2 linked regions of the Astyanax mexicanus genome follow. The protein of the gene in region 1 interacts with the protein of each later gene in a pairwise test. Links are inferred from orthologs where the notes say so. Each region holds a gene or a part of one and is shown in the gene's direction. Other genes may lie near its edges. The genes, in order: prkcz and pard6a.

Evidence for each region.
Region 2: the proteins of prkcz (region 1) and pard6a interact in binary tests that used the Homo sapiens proteins (3 or more experiments, as listed by UniProt). The link is inferred for Astyanax mexicanus from reciprocal best matches to the Homo sapiens genes PRKCZ and PARD6A.

Annotation. Positions count from the first base shown.
Region 1 is NC_064419.1:7,968,495-7,977,057, forward strand, and holds the start of prkcz (protein kinase C zeta type), read left to right. Parts: upstream 1-5,251; 5' UTR 5,252-5,697; coding exon 5,698-5,768; intron 5,769-8,563. Other genes in the region: uncharacterized protein si:ch211-150o23.3, read right to left, coding at 319-615, 849-1,163, 1,920-1,955, 3,068-3,101. UniProt on the Homo sapiens protein: Calcium- and diacylglycerol-independent serine/threonine-protein kinase that functions in phosphatidylinositol 3-kinase (PI3K) pathway and mitogen-activated protein (MAP) kinase cascade, and is involved in NF-kappa-B activation, mitogenic signaling, cell proliferation, cell polarity, inflammatory response and maintenance of long-term potentiation (LTP).
Region 2 is NC_064416.1:25,813,549-25,821,474, reverse strand, and holds the start of pard6a (partitioning defective 6 homolog alpha), read left to right. Parts: upstream 1-4,624; 5' UTR 4,625-4,892; coding exon 4,893-4,955; intron 4,956-7,926. UniProt on the Homo sapiens protein: Adapter protein involved in asymmetrical cell division and cell polarization processes. Probably involved in the formation of epithelial tight junctions.

The DNA of each region.
Region 1 (8,563 bases):
AGAAACTCAATATGTGCAGGATATCATGCAGCCTCATGTGTTGCCTCCTGGCAGGGCTACAAAACTTTCATTTTTCAGCACAGCAGGTGCTGTTTCCCTGGAACCCAGAACCAGTATGCCTCCATGTCCATCCGTGTCTCATCTTGTATCAAGGCTAAAGGTGCCCAACAGGGTATTAGAGCCTACTTTCAATTACAGTACAGTGTTCCCCAATAAACCTATCCTTTCACTCTATTAAGGAACATAAAATGACACTCAAAGCTCCAGCATTTATTGATTAACTTACTGGAAACTGAAGGTTCAATGAGCTTTACTTACAGACAGTAATGTTGATGATGTTGCTGGATGGCGAGTTGCCAGGGTTACCCTGGAGGCGGTAGAGGCAGCTGTAGCTGCCCTGGTGAGAGGTTTCCAGGTCAGACAGGGTCAGCTCCACTCGCGTCTGTCTGAAATCTGCCCGCTGCGTCACCAGAGGAGTGTCCACACCACTCTTATACAGGTAGAAATCAATAGGGTGCCGCCAGTAGGGGGCAGTGCAGGTGAAGAGGACAGCCTCTCCAGCTGAATACGCAGAGAAGGGGGACTGCATGGTCAGGGTGGGCGCAGGAAGTTTATCTGCAGAATAAAATGTAAGGTCACTGATTAGAGTTCAGTCCTGTTAAGACTGTTAACAAAGTGAGTCTTTCATACTGTATATTATCTTTATATCTTCAGAACTCCAGTGCTAATTGTTGGGATATAAGCTTCCTTTCCTTTCTAGCAACATAAGCCTCATAGCTCCAGTGCTAATTGGATCATAGATTCAGCACTAATTAGTGGGATATAAGCATCTATTGCTTGTCTCTCACCTGTGCACTCCACTCCTGCATCTTCGTTGTGTAAACACACTCCATCGTTGGTGGTGCGCTCGCACAGGTCCAGTGTGAACTCGTCCCCTGAGCACCCGACGTTCCTCCACCACACCTCCCCGATGGATCGGCTGTAGTGTGCCCCCGGCCGTGTGGTGAAGGCGAAGCCACAGTCCAGCTCTCTGCACACCACTGCTGCATCCCGCAGATCCCACCCCTGAGAACACACTGTGCCCCACCGCTCACCTATAAACACCTCCACACGGCCAGAGCAGCGGGACCCCTCCACACTGCCCAGCCTCACCCGCAACTCATCTAGAGACAGAGACAGAGATAGAGAGAGAGAGAGCGCGAGAGAGGGAGAAAGAGACAGAGAGAGGTTACTACACAATCCAGCATTGAAGATCACACTAATAACAGATTACACTAATTCTAGAGTTTGAAGTGGAAAGAACTCTGGTGTAAAATTGACTTTGGGTGTAGTAAAACATGATAAAGAGTACTAACCTCTGTTGAATAGCACACCTCCGCTCTCCTACACCTTTCAGCGATCCAGTAATTTTGTACGGTTTCTCCAAACATGCTTTAGAATGGATGATATGGGGCATATTTTTAGGTTAGGTTATGCTATGGGTTGTGCACAGTGGTTTTAATAAGCTTCTTGCGCACTTTCAAAGTTATTAATGCCTCCTTTAAAATGTCAGAGCTCTCCGGATTCTAACAATAAGGTGTGGAGCTACTTTGAGCCTGAATAACGGTGTAAAAAGTGATTTATCTGCAGGGGCAAAATATGTTTGGAGAAACTGCACAAAATTACTGGATCTCAGAAAGCTGTGGGAGAGTGGAGGTGGACTATTTTCATGTTTTACTACAAAGCACCTGATCTTTTCTGTATAGCTGCAACAGAACTGCTGTAGGAGAGCAGGCAGGTTCTGCATCACATGTTCACTACACAAAGAATCTACTGGAGAACAGTGATGGAAAGGGAAACTGGAACAGCATTTGGTTTCATATCTCTGACCTGTCCTCTATTAGTGCTGTTGTGTTGGTTGTGTACAGTGATCAACTTACCGAACCCCAGAACGTTCCAGACAGAGACTTGTCCGACTGTTCAAAAAGAAAAAAGAAGATACAAACTGTTATGCATCAAAATAAATATTGGACTAGTATATTCTTCAAATTAATAATATACTTATTAATCTCCAAGAATATCATGAACATTACATAGATATTTTTAGCAACACCAGAAATTCATGCATTAGATGACAGTGTACAAAGAACTACCAGAAGGTACGGTGTGTATAAAAACAGTGTTGTATTAATAAACCAACTGTGCACTTTCAAAGATCTCATTGCCTTATTTTATTTTATTTTTACCCCCAAAAAATTAAGAAAAGCAACAAGAGATTAACAATTTAGAACTGACAGTATCTATTTCAAATTGAAAGATCTCTTGCAAGGCTTTGTGTATCCTCTTCCAGTAATTTAATACTGGGGCAGTGCCAAAAAATATATGGTAATGGATAGCATTTAGATTTCCATAGTTTCTCCAGCACACTGGGGGGTTTTTATCATACAATTGGGTATAAAACTTCATTGTTTCATTTTTGTTCCATTTACTTTGGTGAGAAAGATACTGATCTGTTTTTCAGTCTTTAGTTTTTCATTTCTCCCTTTCACTAACAAAATAAAAAAAAGTGATCTAAATTATTTTTAATGATTTTTCAATTTGTGTATCTTGTAACAGTAATCTGATAGTATAAAGGAACTTACTTTTGTTACAAAATGTAAAAATCTAAAAATTAAGAAAGATTTTTTATTTTCCCTGAAATTCTAAAGTTATATATATATATATAAACTTCTTCTATACTACACTATATGGTAAAAATGAAAAAGATAAGTAAATAAGTAAGTTATGTTAGCGAAACGCAGAAATGAAAAACTAAAGATAGGAAAACCAGATCAGTTTCTTCTAAAAAATTAAATAATGAAGTTTTATACCAATTGTTAATGAAAATTTTAGCCTGAAATGGTATGAAAATTAAACTGATAAATTTTACACTGACCAATAACCTGTATTACCACACAAAGTTTTAAAGATATTTAGAGCTGAGAAATCTCCTATAAAACAGAAGATCTCTGAGTCTGAGATAAAAACAGGAGCAGTGTTAAATGATCGAATTTGATGAAGGAGAGCAGGCTGAGTTAACGCTACTGACCCAGCAGAGCTGTGAGCAGCACAATCATCTCCATCTCTGATCCATAAATTAGCGGGTTTAAGGTGTGAAACCCACAGGACCGCAGAACTGACCGGTCCAAACCTCCAGCCCGGACCCGAACCTCGCCCCGATCTTCTCTAATAATACAACATCTCCGACCTTCCCGAGCTGCGGCATATTAGCTAGCTAGGTTAGCTAGCCAGCATGCTAAGCTCTGCTGCTCTGAAGAGATGCAGTGAAAGCTTAAGCTAAGCTAACCTAGCTAGCCTGTGTGCTAACTTTACCTCAGCTCTGAGGTAAAACAAAAACTCAAACAGCGAAAATATCGATTATTATCCCACAACACAAACTATCCGTCCCGCACAGCCTCCAGCAGCTCGGGGATATCAGATATAATCGATATTAAACCTGATTACAGGTGTAGTTAAATATTCTCACAGGCAGGTTTAGCGGCTAGCAAAACTAATCTGAGGGAAAAGCTCTAAAAAAAGCGCCTCAGTCTTAAAGCTGTACTCTCCCTCTAATCCACACCTGTGTGTGTGTGTGTGTGTGTGTGTGTGTGTGTGTGTGTGTGTGGGCATTGTGTTCCTAAAATACTTCCACGATATTTTAGGGTATTTTTGCTATAAAAATATTTTTGGCGATATGATTTTTACTAATTTACTAATTAATACTAATTTTTTACTTACATTATACTAATTAATTTTAAGAATATATTACTGGGAAAAAAATATTAAGAGAATTTTAGAGTTTTATACATTTGAAGCAAAAACATTAATACTAACTTTACCTTAACATTTTATTTTATATTTAAAAAAAAAATACTAAAATAGTGTAACAAAATGAAAAAAAAAAACATAAATAATGTAACAACAAACTAATTCAGTCACAGCTGAATTTTTAGTACTTGCATAAAAAAACGTTTTCATAATGTTAATAATTGTCTAGAAATGTGAGAAACGTTATAATTATGTTGCGATACAATTTTTTTTTGACATTTTAATGTCACATGTTACATAATAACCTTTCCAAAACCTTTTTAAAACGACCAGTAGGGTAAAGTGTGCCATATTGCAATATATCATGATTCAGTTATACTGTGATATCAGCTGTATTTTGTTTTGAAAGCAGTCTACTCTGTATTTGTTTTGCTTTTTAAGCTTTAAAAGTTTTTACTGTAAAATATATTAATCCTAACACACACCTTCTGTTTTGAAAGGGCTGCTGAATCTTACTCAGCCTGCAGGTGGCGCCAAAACACCAGCCTTTCAGCTTTCAGTCAGTAAAGCAGGTAAATGCGTATGAAACAAAAATAATTGGATTACAAATAACTAAAGAAAATGCCACAATAATAATAATAATAATAATAATAATAATAATAATTTTTATCCTCCATATTTATATTGTTATGTCTGTTAGACCCTACACCAAAAAGTTAGGTTTATTAGTGAAGGCTGTGGTTCTACATGGATTAATGACAACTAAAACAACTATTTCAACGTCTGACTGGTTCTTTGCCTTATTATAATTTTTTTTACTAATAAAAAGTAAACAAACAAAATAAATAATTCTAGTATAATGTGGTGGAACTTGGACACATAACATATATTGAACTTTCTCCGACCCAATCCCAGAATGTTCTGACTTAGGCTCAGAAACTTTTACGTAAATACAGAATATACACTCATAAATACTCCACTGTAATTGTAAAGTGCATTTACACTTTTCTTACTTTATGTTTATTTGGATATAGTATTCTAATGTTATCTAGAGGTTATTACAGGTAGACACTCACTGGTCACTGACTTTATGTTTATTTGGGTTTAGTGTTATAATGTTATGTAGAGTTAATTACAAGTAGACACTCTCACTGGTCACTGACTTTATGTTTATTTGGGTTCAGTATTCTAGTGTTATATAAAGTTAATTACAGGAAGACACTCTAACTGACCACTGACTTTATGTTTATTTGCGTTTAGTATCATAATGTTATATAGAGTTAGGTACAGGTAGATACTCTTACTGATCACTTAATTTATTCTTGTTTGGGTTTATTGTTATTGTTTTATTGTTTTATATGTTATATAAAAATAATTACAGGTAGACACTCACTGACCACTGACTTGATGTTTATTTGGGTTTATTATAATGTTATATAGAGTTAATTACAGGTAGACACTCTCACTGACCAGTGACTTTATTTATACATCACTAGCAGGATTTTTAAGTTAATTGAAGGTAAGTGGATTATCACAGTGTTAGCCACTGTGAGACTGGAAGTGTGTGAGGGGTGTGTGTGAGTGTGTAAGTAATCCCGTTGCTCTGTTTAGGGAGGGTGAGTGTCCGTACCCGGAGCGCGCAGGTCGGTCATGGGAAGCGCGTGCACGCGCACTACCAGCACAATAAACCCAACAGGTGTGTGTATGGGTGTGTGTGAGTGTGTGTGTGTATGGGAGTGTGTGTGTTTGTAGGCAGCCCCGGGTCCAGCAGTGGGGTCAGCGGGGCGCTGTGGGAGCTGTAGCCGGACTTGGAGCCTCACAGCCCGGCCAACTGCCCCTAGGAGCCCCGGCAGGTTAGCGCGGATAGTTGGCGGAGACTCCTTTAGCAGCACCGGGAAGAAGACGGCGAACATGCCGGTCAGAAACGGCTCCATGATGGAAATACATGAGGAATATGTGAAGATAAAGGCTCATTACGGAGGGTATGTTTACTTTTAACTTGTTTAAAAAGCTTAAGTTTGCTTTTTATTTCTAACTCTCCAGTCCACCTTAAATGGTGCAGCATAACACTATAACCCCCGAAGCGTCTGAACGTAAACTGATGCACTATTTAAGGTGGAACGGGGAGTTCCAAAAAAAAAAAGTTTTCAACTTTTTTTTTTTAGCTAAATTTAATATAACGTAATAGTGTTAATTACTGACTGTAGATTAAAATAGACAGGTTGTAATATTTATTTGAACCAGTTAAATAAGCTCATCTGTAGTTTACTGGATAAACTGAACACTTCTTTTCTGAACTCTACAGCTAGCCTGCTAACTCTGTTATCTTTTCTTCCTCCCTTCCCTTTTAAAAGCTGAACTTATCTCCTCTTATCTTCTTGAGAAACACTTCATTTAAGCTCCAGCTCTCTCTGCTTGCTTTACTCAGCCTTAGGCCCAGTGCCTGCCTAATGAAACAGAACCGGTTGCCAGGTCTGTCTCCTTCCAGTTCAGAGGCTTAACTGTTAATTTATTTATTTACACCTTCAGAGCTCTCCTGTAATGATCTGAGCAACTTTTCCTGAAGTTAGTCATTAAGACAGATTGTTACCTAACTCCATCACTGGTCATGTGGGGGAGCCTGTCATGGAGAAATTTCACAGGGGTGTGTTATTTAATAGGGCAATGCCATACATATCTAATCACTATAATTTTTTACTTTTTATTTCCTGTCATGGAGGCGTCCACCCTGTTATGACAAACTGCGGGATAGACGATTTTAGTTAAAATTGCTAGAGCTGAAACCGAGCTGTTAAACTGTTCATAGTGACCTTGTTTTGTTTTAAAGATAATTTTGATCTCAAAAATAGTTTATAAAAATTACCATGATATGTAGGGAGACAATATGAGAGTTATTAAGTGAAATAAATCTTATTAATTGCTGAACATGCAGCAGCAAGTGATTTCAGTACCTTGAAAATAAACAGTGTGAATGTTGTGATGCCACTGAGGTCAAATGCCTAAATAATTAAGAACATGTTTAAATAAAATAAGAAATACGTTATTTAACGACCTAAAAGAATTACTGTTTCAGCTCCACCCATTTTAAGTTAAAGAAGTGTTGCAGCATAGACTTCTTCATGGATGTAGTAGAGAGGTGAGTTAATTAGTGTATCTGCTTGTTTTGTTTGTAAAGTGGAGAGACATCACTGAAATATGGCGTTGGAAGAGGAACTGGGTTTGGGAGCTGAGGGCTAAAAGAGAAGTGCAGAGATAAGGGTTGAGTAGGAGTTCAGGGTTGAGGAGCAGTTCAAGAATGAGGAGATAATGGTTGAGGAACTCATGTTTGAAAAACTCAGTGGTGTGGAGGAGCAAAGGGGTTAGGAGCTCATTAAGGAGCTTATAGTTTAGGAGCCCAGGCCTCAGTTGGAGCTCAGGATTTGGAACTCAATATTAAAGGGGAGATCAGGATTGAATAAGAGCTCAGTGTTGAAGTGAACCTCAGGGTTGAGAAGCTCAGGGATGAGGAGGAGATCAGGGTAAAGGAGCTCAGGAGGGAAGAGCTCAGGGTTGAAAACTGAAAAATGAAGTGCTTAGCGTTAAAGAGGAGATCAGGGATGAGAAAGAAGGAGCTTAGGAGTGAGGAGCTTGGAAATGAGAAACTCAGGGTTGAGGAGTTGCTGAGGTTTGAGGAGATGCTCATGGCAGAGTAAGAGCTCAGGGTTAAGGAGATGCTCAGGGTTGAGGAGATGCTCAGGGTTAAGGAGGTGCTCAGGGTTGAGGAGATGCTCAGGGTTGAGGAGGTGCTCAGGGTTAACCAGGGTCTCAGCATTGAGGAGGAGCTCAGTGTTCAGGAACAGCTTAGGATTGAAGAAATCATGGGTGTGGAGGAGCTCAGGCTTCAGGAGGAGCTCAGGAGATAAAAACTGCGTGTGTGTGTGTGCCTGTGTGTTGCTGCCTCGTCTCACACACACTATAAGTCTGTCAGTTGCCTAGCAACCAGAACTGAACCCAGAAGATCCCAGAGAGTTCTCTCGCCTGTATATTTTGTCTAGTTGTGTGTGTTTAGTCTGTTTCACACTGTTAGACCGAGTTAAACCTATTTATTTAAACCAAGTTGATCAGAATTCAACTTTCAGAAGAGTGAAGTGAATCTAAATTAAAATGAGTTAAACCAAGCTAAACAGAGTTACGCTGAGTAAGAATTGAGTCACACTGAGTTAAAAGTTAAACTGAAATATTTATATTACCTTCTTCTTATATTTATCTTCACCTTCTTTACTTTTACTTTCTATACCTTGCTGAAACCACTGGCCAGTGATTGGAATCAAAGATGTTTGTAATAATAAAATAAAGTGCTCAGAGAGAGAAAGCACAAGGTGGGGTGTTTCTGATAAAGTGGCCAGGTGTGTGTAAAAGACTGTGTTGTTTGTCATATTCCAGTCTGATGTAAATTCCTGTGGAGCTGTAAAGTGTGTAATGATTAATCTAGGTGGGGGGGGGGAGGGGGAGGGCTGGTTTATGATATGATAGTAAAGTTATAAATACTCAGGAAATTCCTGGTTTGAGGCCGCAGAAAGGCCTCAGTATCAGGAGTCTGTAATTTATCTGTAATTTCTGTTTCGTTCTGTGGACTTTTAACCCTGTAGCTCCGTCTACTAAATTGCCAGAAATGTACTGATCACCTATGATCAATAACTGATCACCTATGATCAATAACTGATCACCTATGATCAATAACTGATCAACTGAGATCAGTAACTGACTAACTGACATAAAAAAATAACCAGATGACATT
Region 2 (7,926 bases), on another chromosome or scaffold:
TAAAGCATATCTTATCGGCTTTACTGCCAAGCAGACCTCTTTCAAATAGCTCACATTCTTAAGCATCCTTCACCTCTACAGCTGGAAACCAAGACTCTCTCACCGAACTCACACCTAACATGCTCTTCTGTTTGGACGAAACCTTGTATGTGCTCTAAAACTTTAGCAGTGAGGGTAACGGAACAGTGCGTTCAGACAATTACAGGAAACTGTCCTCAAGAGTAAACATTTACAAGAAATAAAAATGATGTAAACAAATCCACGTTCTCAAAAAAGAAAAGAAAAAAAGGGCCTACCTTGAACGAAAATGCCATGAGTCACCAGAGGCTCACAGATGACTGAAGATGAGTACATTCTTCCTTTAATTACTGACCACGCTCTTTAACAGGGTTCACTGAGGAGGATCTGGTTTGACAGGTGAAATTGTTTATACATGAGTGTACTGAGGAGTGAGGTAATTACCCTGCACACATGGCCAGACAACCTTTTCCTGCTGTCTATGATCAGAGAGCGCACATGCTAATGGCTAATCTACAAAGAACTGAAAGATGTAGAGATAAGTCAAACAACAAAGCAACAGGTCATCATACTACTGACATGACCGACAGACACATGACAACAATGACAAGAAGAAAACTCAACAAACCTGTGAGGCAGTCCATGCACCCGTGACCTTCTCCGAAAAGTCCTTATTAATGATAAAGACTTTGTTGATGAGCTGAGAGAGGAAGTGGGTGGGGTGGGACTGGGTGGGAATAAAATGTTTTTGGCCTGTTGCAGGAAATTGAATTGAGAACCAATCCATGTTCTGGTATTTCATTATTTTTAAATTAAGCCCTGACATCACATTTTTAATATTATTATAACTCATATAGCCAATACTGAAAAACATGGTTTTGAGTGGCTGTTGATTTTACCTAAAAAAAAATATTATATTATATTATTAATTATGTTTTGCATCTAAACATGAATGCATTGAGTTTTCTTAACCAAACTACCTTCCTGGTTACTATCTGGTTATATGATTGCGTTGTGCTTTTCTTGTTTTATTGTTGAAGGCTGTAATGAGCAAACTTTGTGCTTTCAGAGAATCAGAGAAATTAGTTCTCTCTGATTCTTTGTTGCCTAAGTGATAAAGAAACCACACATACAATACAGCACTATCCAATCATCATTTGTGAAGTTTATACTGTATAAGTTTAGATGGATGAACAAAAAAAACTATATATATGAATATTAAAGAAAGGGAAATCTATGACATCTATTAAGCAACTACACTTCACAGAGGCTAGTAATGCACAGTCCTGTAAGCAATATGTACTGAAATGAAGGACATCTCCATTAAGTGGTTCAGGTATTTTGGGCTAGTTCTGAGGAATGTGTTCCAGAGCAGGTCCCTCCATGAATGGTCACAAGAGTGTGAATGAGACAGTGTTCTTGTCTCTATGATAAAAAACAACCCAGATAACATGCCCAGGTGGGGCCTGTATGGGTAGCCCGATTGGGAAGCAGAAAGTTTTATCCACAGGTTCCTTGTTGTTCCCACATATGGATGTCAGTGATGGGACCAGGAGCGGTTAAACATCTGCCCTCTTAAGGTGGGATGTGACGATGTGGCTCATTTCTGAAGTACATTTGGGTTCTAATAAAAACATCTCACCCATCTCAAACATCAACACCCACTCAGAGCCATGCCCACCTTGAACCCACCTAGCCCATGTTCCACCCATGTAAACCCCACATGAACATGATGATTGAGAACCCTTTCATAAAGTATTGTATCTTTCTGCTCCATATATTTTATTTTCACATTTTGTCACATTAAATGTTCTTCAGTGTAACTAATTTAAAAGCACTGATGCTCATTGCAATAAACAAAAGGTTTGGCACATTTAAAAGTAGCAGTTGTGCGATTTTAAACTTCACTCTTCTCCCAGCTATAGACACTGTGAGAAACAACTGAGAGAAGGTTTTGAAGTGAGCTGACTTATGTATCACTAAGCTAGGAGATACTTTCATGTCAAATCAGACAGAATTCCTAAGACAAGCTGCTGCGTGACTTTAATTCAGATTTTATTTATTCTTTTTTTATTTGTTACTTGTGGCCTACATTCTTAAAAGAAGACACTGCCAAGATTTCCTTGACTGACTCCACAGAACAAAAGTATTTAATCAATTCTCATTAATGTCCTGTTAAAATAATGTTTTCTAAATCCAAGGTCCAGAACATCATACCATAATGAACCACTTTTCTTTTTTTAGCGCTATACACATGACTTCCTTGTATTTTAAAGATGTCTCATCATTATGTACTCATCACAATACGCCTATCACAATGCAATGTGGACGTGATATTTTGGCAATTTAATTCATTTTAATTTATTTTGCTTTGCAGAGCCACGTGGACAATATTATTTAATATATGTAGTTTTATTGTTTTAGATATTCATTATTTAATGCATTGTTGGTTCGATAATCATGTTTGTATACATGCCCTTCAAACAACTGTTGTTTGATGAAACACATGAACACGGCAATATTTTGCATGATGGCGAACTGATGGAGTTACATTAAGTTCCACCAAATTAAACAAGGGCACTGTACAGTGGCATACTATAGCTAAAATTATTCTAAAAGAGAACCAAACAAATTGTTGATGCTCATCTACTGGCATATTTAGAGGGCTAATGTCAACATCAGTGATATTTCATCCACTAACAAAGCCCACACAAAATTACACAGTTTGATGTCTGTTGTATTTGACCTATGACCAGAGCTCCAAGCAACTGCTTGATTTGCATGAACTTTTTCCTCTGGTAGTGAATGGTGAAAAATGCTTTAACAAAAAACCTAAAACGTTAGCCCATTTAAATGTGTGTAGGGTTGCACGTTGCTTTAAATCTTGCAGAAAGGGCATTCAGATAATTAAGCAAGTGCTATTTTTAGGGTGCTTTCACACCTGCCTCGCTTGGTCCGGACTTTCGTACTTTTTAGTTTGGTCCGAACCAAATTAGCAGGTGTGAAAGGGGCCGCGAACCACCGTCCGACCAGATTTTGGTCCGACCAAGAGAGGTGGTCTCGGTCCGGATCTTTTGAACCATGGTCCAGTTCGCCTGCAGTGTGAAAGCGCTTTTCTGGATGGTTCGAAATTTCGGACCAATTACAGGAAGCTGAGCAGGCGTTCCTCAGCAACGGCAGCAGAAAAGAAAAATAACCAGCTACTACTGACTGCATCCTGCGGGAAGGCGGAGTTGGACGTCCAGCGCGTCTAGTCCCACCCACTTTGTCCACGCCACGCCTTGTCAGTCTCGCAAGGTTGTAATGTATACACAGTATTTAAGCCGTACGACGCGGCACATTATATTTAAAGTCCGCTAACTGCCCTGTACATTGTTTACTTCCGTACAGGGGCGGGACTGGACGGCATGACGCTAACAAAGTGGGCGGGACTAGACGGCATGACGCTTACAAAGTGGGCGGAGCTGGACGCACTGGACGTCTAACTCCGCCTTCCTGCAGGCTGCAGTCAGTACCCTCTCAAAATAACCGGAAAAGCAGGAAAAATGAGCCGTGGATACAGTTGCTTCAGGACAAGCACGTTCGTTTAGCGAATTTGAACTAACCTAGAGTACTGTGCCTGAAGTTGCTGCTGCTGGTATAAAAACCACAATAGCAGCACTACTATGTAGACGAAATTAATCTGTTCATTAATTTCATCCTTATCCTGGAAAGGCTTTCCATCGAATGAACCACCCGCTGAATTATCAATCAATTGTCGTCAGACGCATGTCCTTCCAAAACCAATCAGCGTCAAGTTAAGGAAAACGCATCGATACGTAAGTGATGAAAGGATGTAGGAGTATCACACAAAGGTCTTTGGTGCGCTCCCTAAACTGCAGTGTGAAAACAAAAATAAGCGGACCAAATATATACAATGTAGCAACACATGAACCTTGGTTCGGACCACGGTCCGGACTTTCAGGTGTGAAAGCACCCTTAATCTGATTATGAAACCTCTTTAATATAAGCAAATAAACAAATTTGTTATATAGTAATCAATGCAAAATGTTGGTAAAAAATTAATGCAAAACTGGATTGAAATAAGTCTTGTGACATTGCAGAAGCTTATGGAAACAATATTAGTGTGTGACCTTTTTTTGGTGCTGACTTTTTTTGGCCAGGCAGTGTATTTGTTTGTTTATTTATTTTTCACATTAGTAACAAGTGCTAGTACTAGTTAATTAGTTAATTAATACATTAATTTATTTATGTATTTATTTGTGACTGCAGTTTTTTTATTTGGTTAATATTCTGACCAAGCACACATTCAAACATTTGAAATAGCAATTTATTTGCATTTGTAGTATAGAAATTGTAATAAAAAGGTTTTGATTGGGTGGTTGGATTGAGTTTGATAAACCCTGTCTAACAAGGTAAACCAAAAAAAATCTAAATGTAAAAGAATATCAGAATTTTTTTTTTATATATTATTTATTTATTAAGTGCTGATACTACTACCTGGCCTGCTCCCTGGCGGTGACGTTCCTCGTGCGGGCGTGCCTTTACCGTGGGCGGGACGGCGTGGGTGCTTACGTCATTGTTATTGAAGGGGAACGGGCGCCGCCCACTCCGGGAGCAGCAGCCTCTAACGGTAGAGCTCGCGCTGCCCGCCAGTACTGCGGATCGAACAGAGCTGCGCGCGCCCTCCCGCCCTCCGCTCCCAGACAGACAGACACCCATCCATCCATGCTGCTCTCAACACCGCCGCTACTACTGCTGCTGAGAGCGAGCGCGCGCCCTCCGCGCTGCCTTCTGTAGGGATTTAGAGAGAGAGCGGAACGAGCCGTGACTGGAATACACACAAACACACACACACACACACACTACTAACGATGTCGAGGAACCAGAGGACGCCGCTGAAGAGCACGGACACCGTGGTGGAGGTGAAGAGCAAAGTAAGTGTGTCTCAGTCGTGCGCGCCCGAACCCGTGCGTACAGCTAGGTGTCCGTGCATGTGCGTGTGCGCGTGTGTGTGTGTGTGTGCTAGGTGCAAGACGACAAATGTGTTTGGCTTGAGCCCAAGTTGAGCGGCTCGGGCTCCGGTGTTCTGTCAAGTTTTGCTACCTTATCAGACCGTGCTACCCTAGTATATATTTAACTGTAAAAACATTAAATGAGCACCTTACTACAGCATGTTACCAGTAGGTGTGGGTTAGTAGGGTAGTTTATTTGGATAGCATAAATCACTGTATCATGGTAAAGTCATGACAAAGAGAGGTTATTATAAACAGCTTTTTCTTATTTTTTTTTAAATAATAATAATTGTATTTTTTATTATTATTAGTTTCCATCTACACTTCTGCAATGACAGTGAGTTATATTTTTTATAGATTTTTTTTAATAAACAAAAGAAACACGATAAAGAAATAAAAAGTGTAGATCAGCGCATGCGCAGTGCCTTTAGGAAGCACGTATCGATGGGTAGCACAACTCGACAGAACACCCCCCGGTGGTGGAGCGCAGTGCTGGTGCAGTGTGTGTGTGTGTGTGTGTGTGTGTGTGCGCACGCTCGATGCTATGGACGCTCGTGCGCAGTGAAGCGACCGGGCCCCGGTGATCAATTATGCATGTTGGACACCGTGCAGCGGTGCGGTAAAATATCAACCATCCGTCTGATTCTGCCCACCTGCCATCAAACCACTGCCCGTATACAGCAACGATGAGGGTCAGCACTGCGAGGACATCACACACACACAGAGCATGGACACCGAACTGCCGCCTATAGAAAGCTGTAGCCCCGGGTACACACTCGACTGTGAAATGGTACCCTACGTGTCTTCCACTGTTTGATGTAGTGTCCGAATTTTACACATTTCGCAAGTAAACCGTGGCTGGATGTCAGTGTCTTCGCTATGACACTGATACTCTCGTGTGTAAACAAACCCAGGCTGTTGTTGACTGGTCACATGCTCCCCCCCTACCAGTCTTACCCAGTCTTTACACTGGTGGTGATGGAGAAGCCAAGCTTCTTCACAGCTAAGGGAGCACGGGAGTAGGGCTGAGAGCACGGGCTGGCACAATTCTGATGATACAATTAGACACATATATACAATTATTTATATATATGTATATATATATATATATATATATATATATATATATATATATATATATATATATATACATATATACATATATACATATATACATGCCCTTTTTATTCAATAAGAGCAGTAGGGATCTCAGGCCAGGCTATCTACTAAAACACAGTGCAAAAAACAGTGTCTGACTCCTGGATCACACTGCTTGCCATCAGCAGCCGGTATCCGAAAGAGCACAAATGGTCTTATTCTCTCAGCCGTGAGAAGATGACACTTTCTTGTCACCTGACTCTCACTGTGATGTTTGGTCAGCTGCACAGGTGTCTTTTAGCTTTTATATCAACGCTGGGTAGCTATGCTTTCTTTAAATTGTTTTGGGTGTCTTTTTTATCCAATAAGGACAGTACAGATGGTTTAAACGCAGTGAAAAAACAGTGTCTGACACCAAACTTTACATATCTCAGTGTTTAGTATCGATACAGTATTGCCAAACATAATATTGTGCTACTTTGACATATTGACATAATTTTCTTACACCCATAGGATTCAGTTGAAATAAAGCTGTTTTTTAACTACCTGAAATGACCAATGGACCTTCACACCAATGAGTCTCCTGAGTGTCATATGTAGTGATGACTGATTATGATGATTGTGGCTTCCATAGCAGATTTATCTTTGTGGAGTCTTATGAGTACATAAACACACAGGCAGTGAGGAAGGTATTAGTAACAACAGTAACAGAATGTTTTAAAAGAAAAGGTTGATACGGTCAGAGGTTTATAATGTCAGTATTGATTATTTTTCGATTAATAACCCAACCCTACAGCATATCTGTTAGAAAAGGTTTTAGGGGACTGAATTGCCTGAGAGTGAAATTCTACAATGTAAGTGGATTAAATGGTACATTTAAAGTCACAAATCTAACCTCACAACTGTTGGTAAACAGTGCCTCAGTCATTAATGTATTTATGTGGATTTTAAGAAATTGTTCTTTGATAAGTTTTAACTGATTTAGATCTGGTGAGCTCTCTAAACCAGAGTATTACACACCAAGTCGTGCTGGATGACATTATTTATACAGTAACATGCCACTTTTTTCCAGAATGCCCAAGACTGCCAAATTGTATGTCTGTTCATTGACAGTTCTCCCCAGATATTACTGGCCAAGTTCATTACCACCCTTGGGCTGTCTACTGTGGGTGGTAATGCCTTATTAAGTGTTTATCTACAGAGGTGACATTGTGAATTGTTAAATGCCTGAACAACTTCCAAACTGAATATCCCATCCATCTAGCATCCACTATTACACCCCCTTCAAAATATGGTAATTAATGTCACCTTTCTCATCTGAGCATGCTAGACAGTGTTCAACCTCAAATCAAATTTCTCAGAAAATAACCATTTAATTATGCTGAAGTTTTAAACATCTGTATTGATCAATACAGTGAAAACGTTCATCTGCAATTTACAATGAGGTGAAACTTTCATGATAAACGGATGGAAGAATTGGTCATTTAGTCTTATTGCTGTTTTAGAGCTTTGATTTTTTTTAACCACAAGCTGCTGCTGACCATGGTGTTTTTGCACATGTTGTGTTTGTTGTGTTTACCCCAAGAATTTCAAAAAGGAAAGCAGCAGCCAGGCTCACTGTGGTGTGTCGCTCTCCCTACCGAAGGAATGTCAGACCAGCACACCATGAGAACTGCGTGAAAGCTAAGAATAGGAGAAGCAAAAATTCAGCATTTTTCTCGTTGTTTTCTCGTATCTTATAAAATTAGAGGTCTTGCTGTGGTCGGTGCCACTTCAGACAGACAAGGGCTGGAGT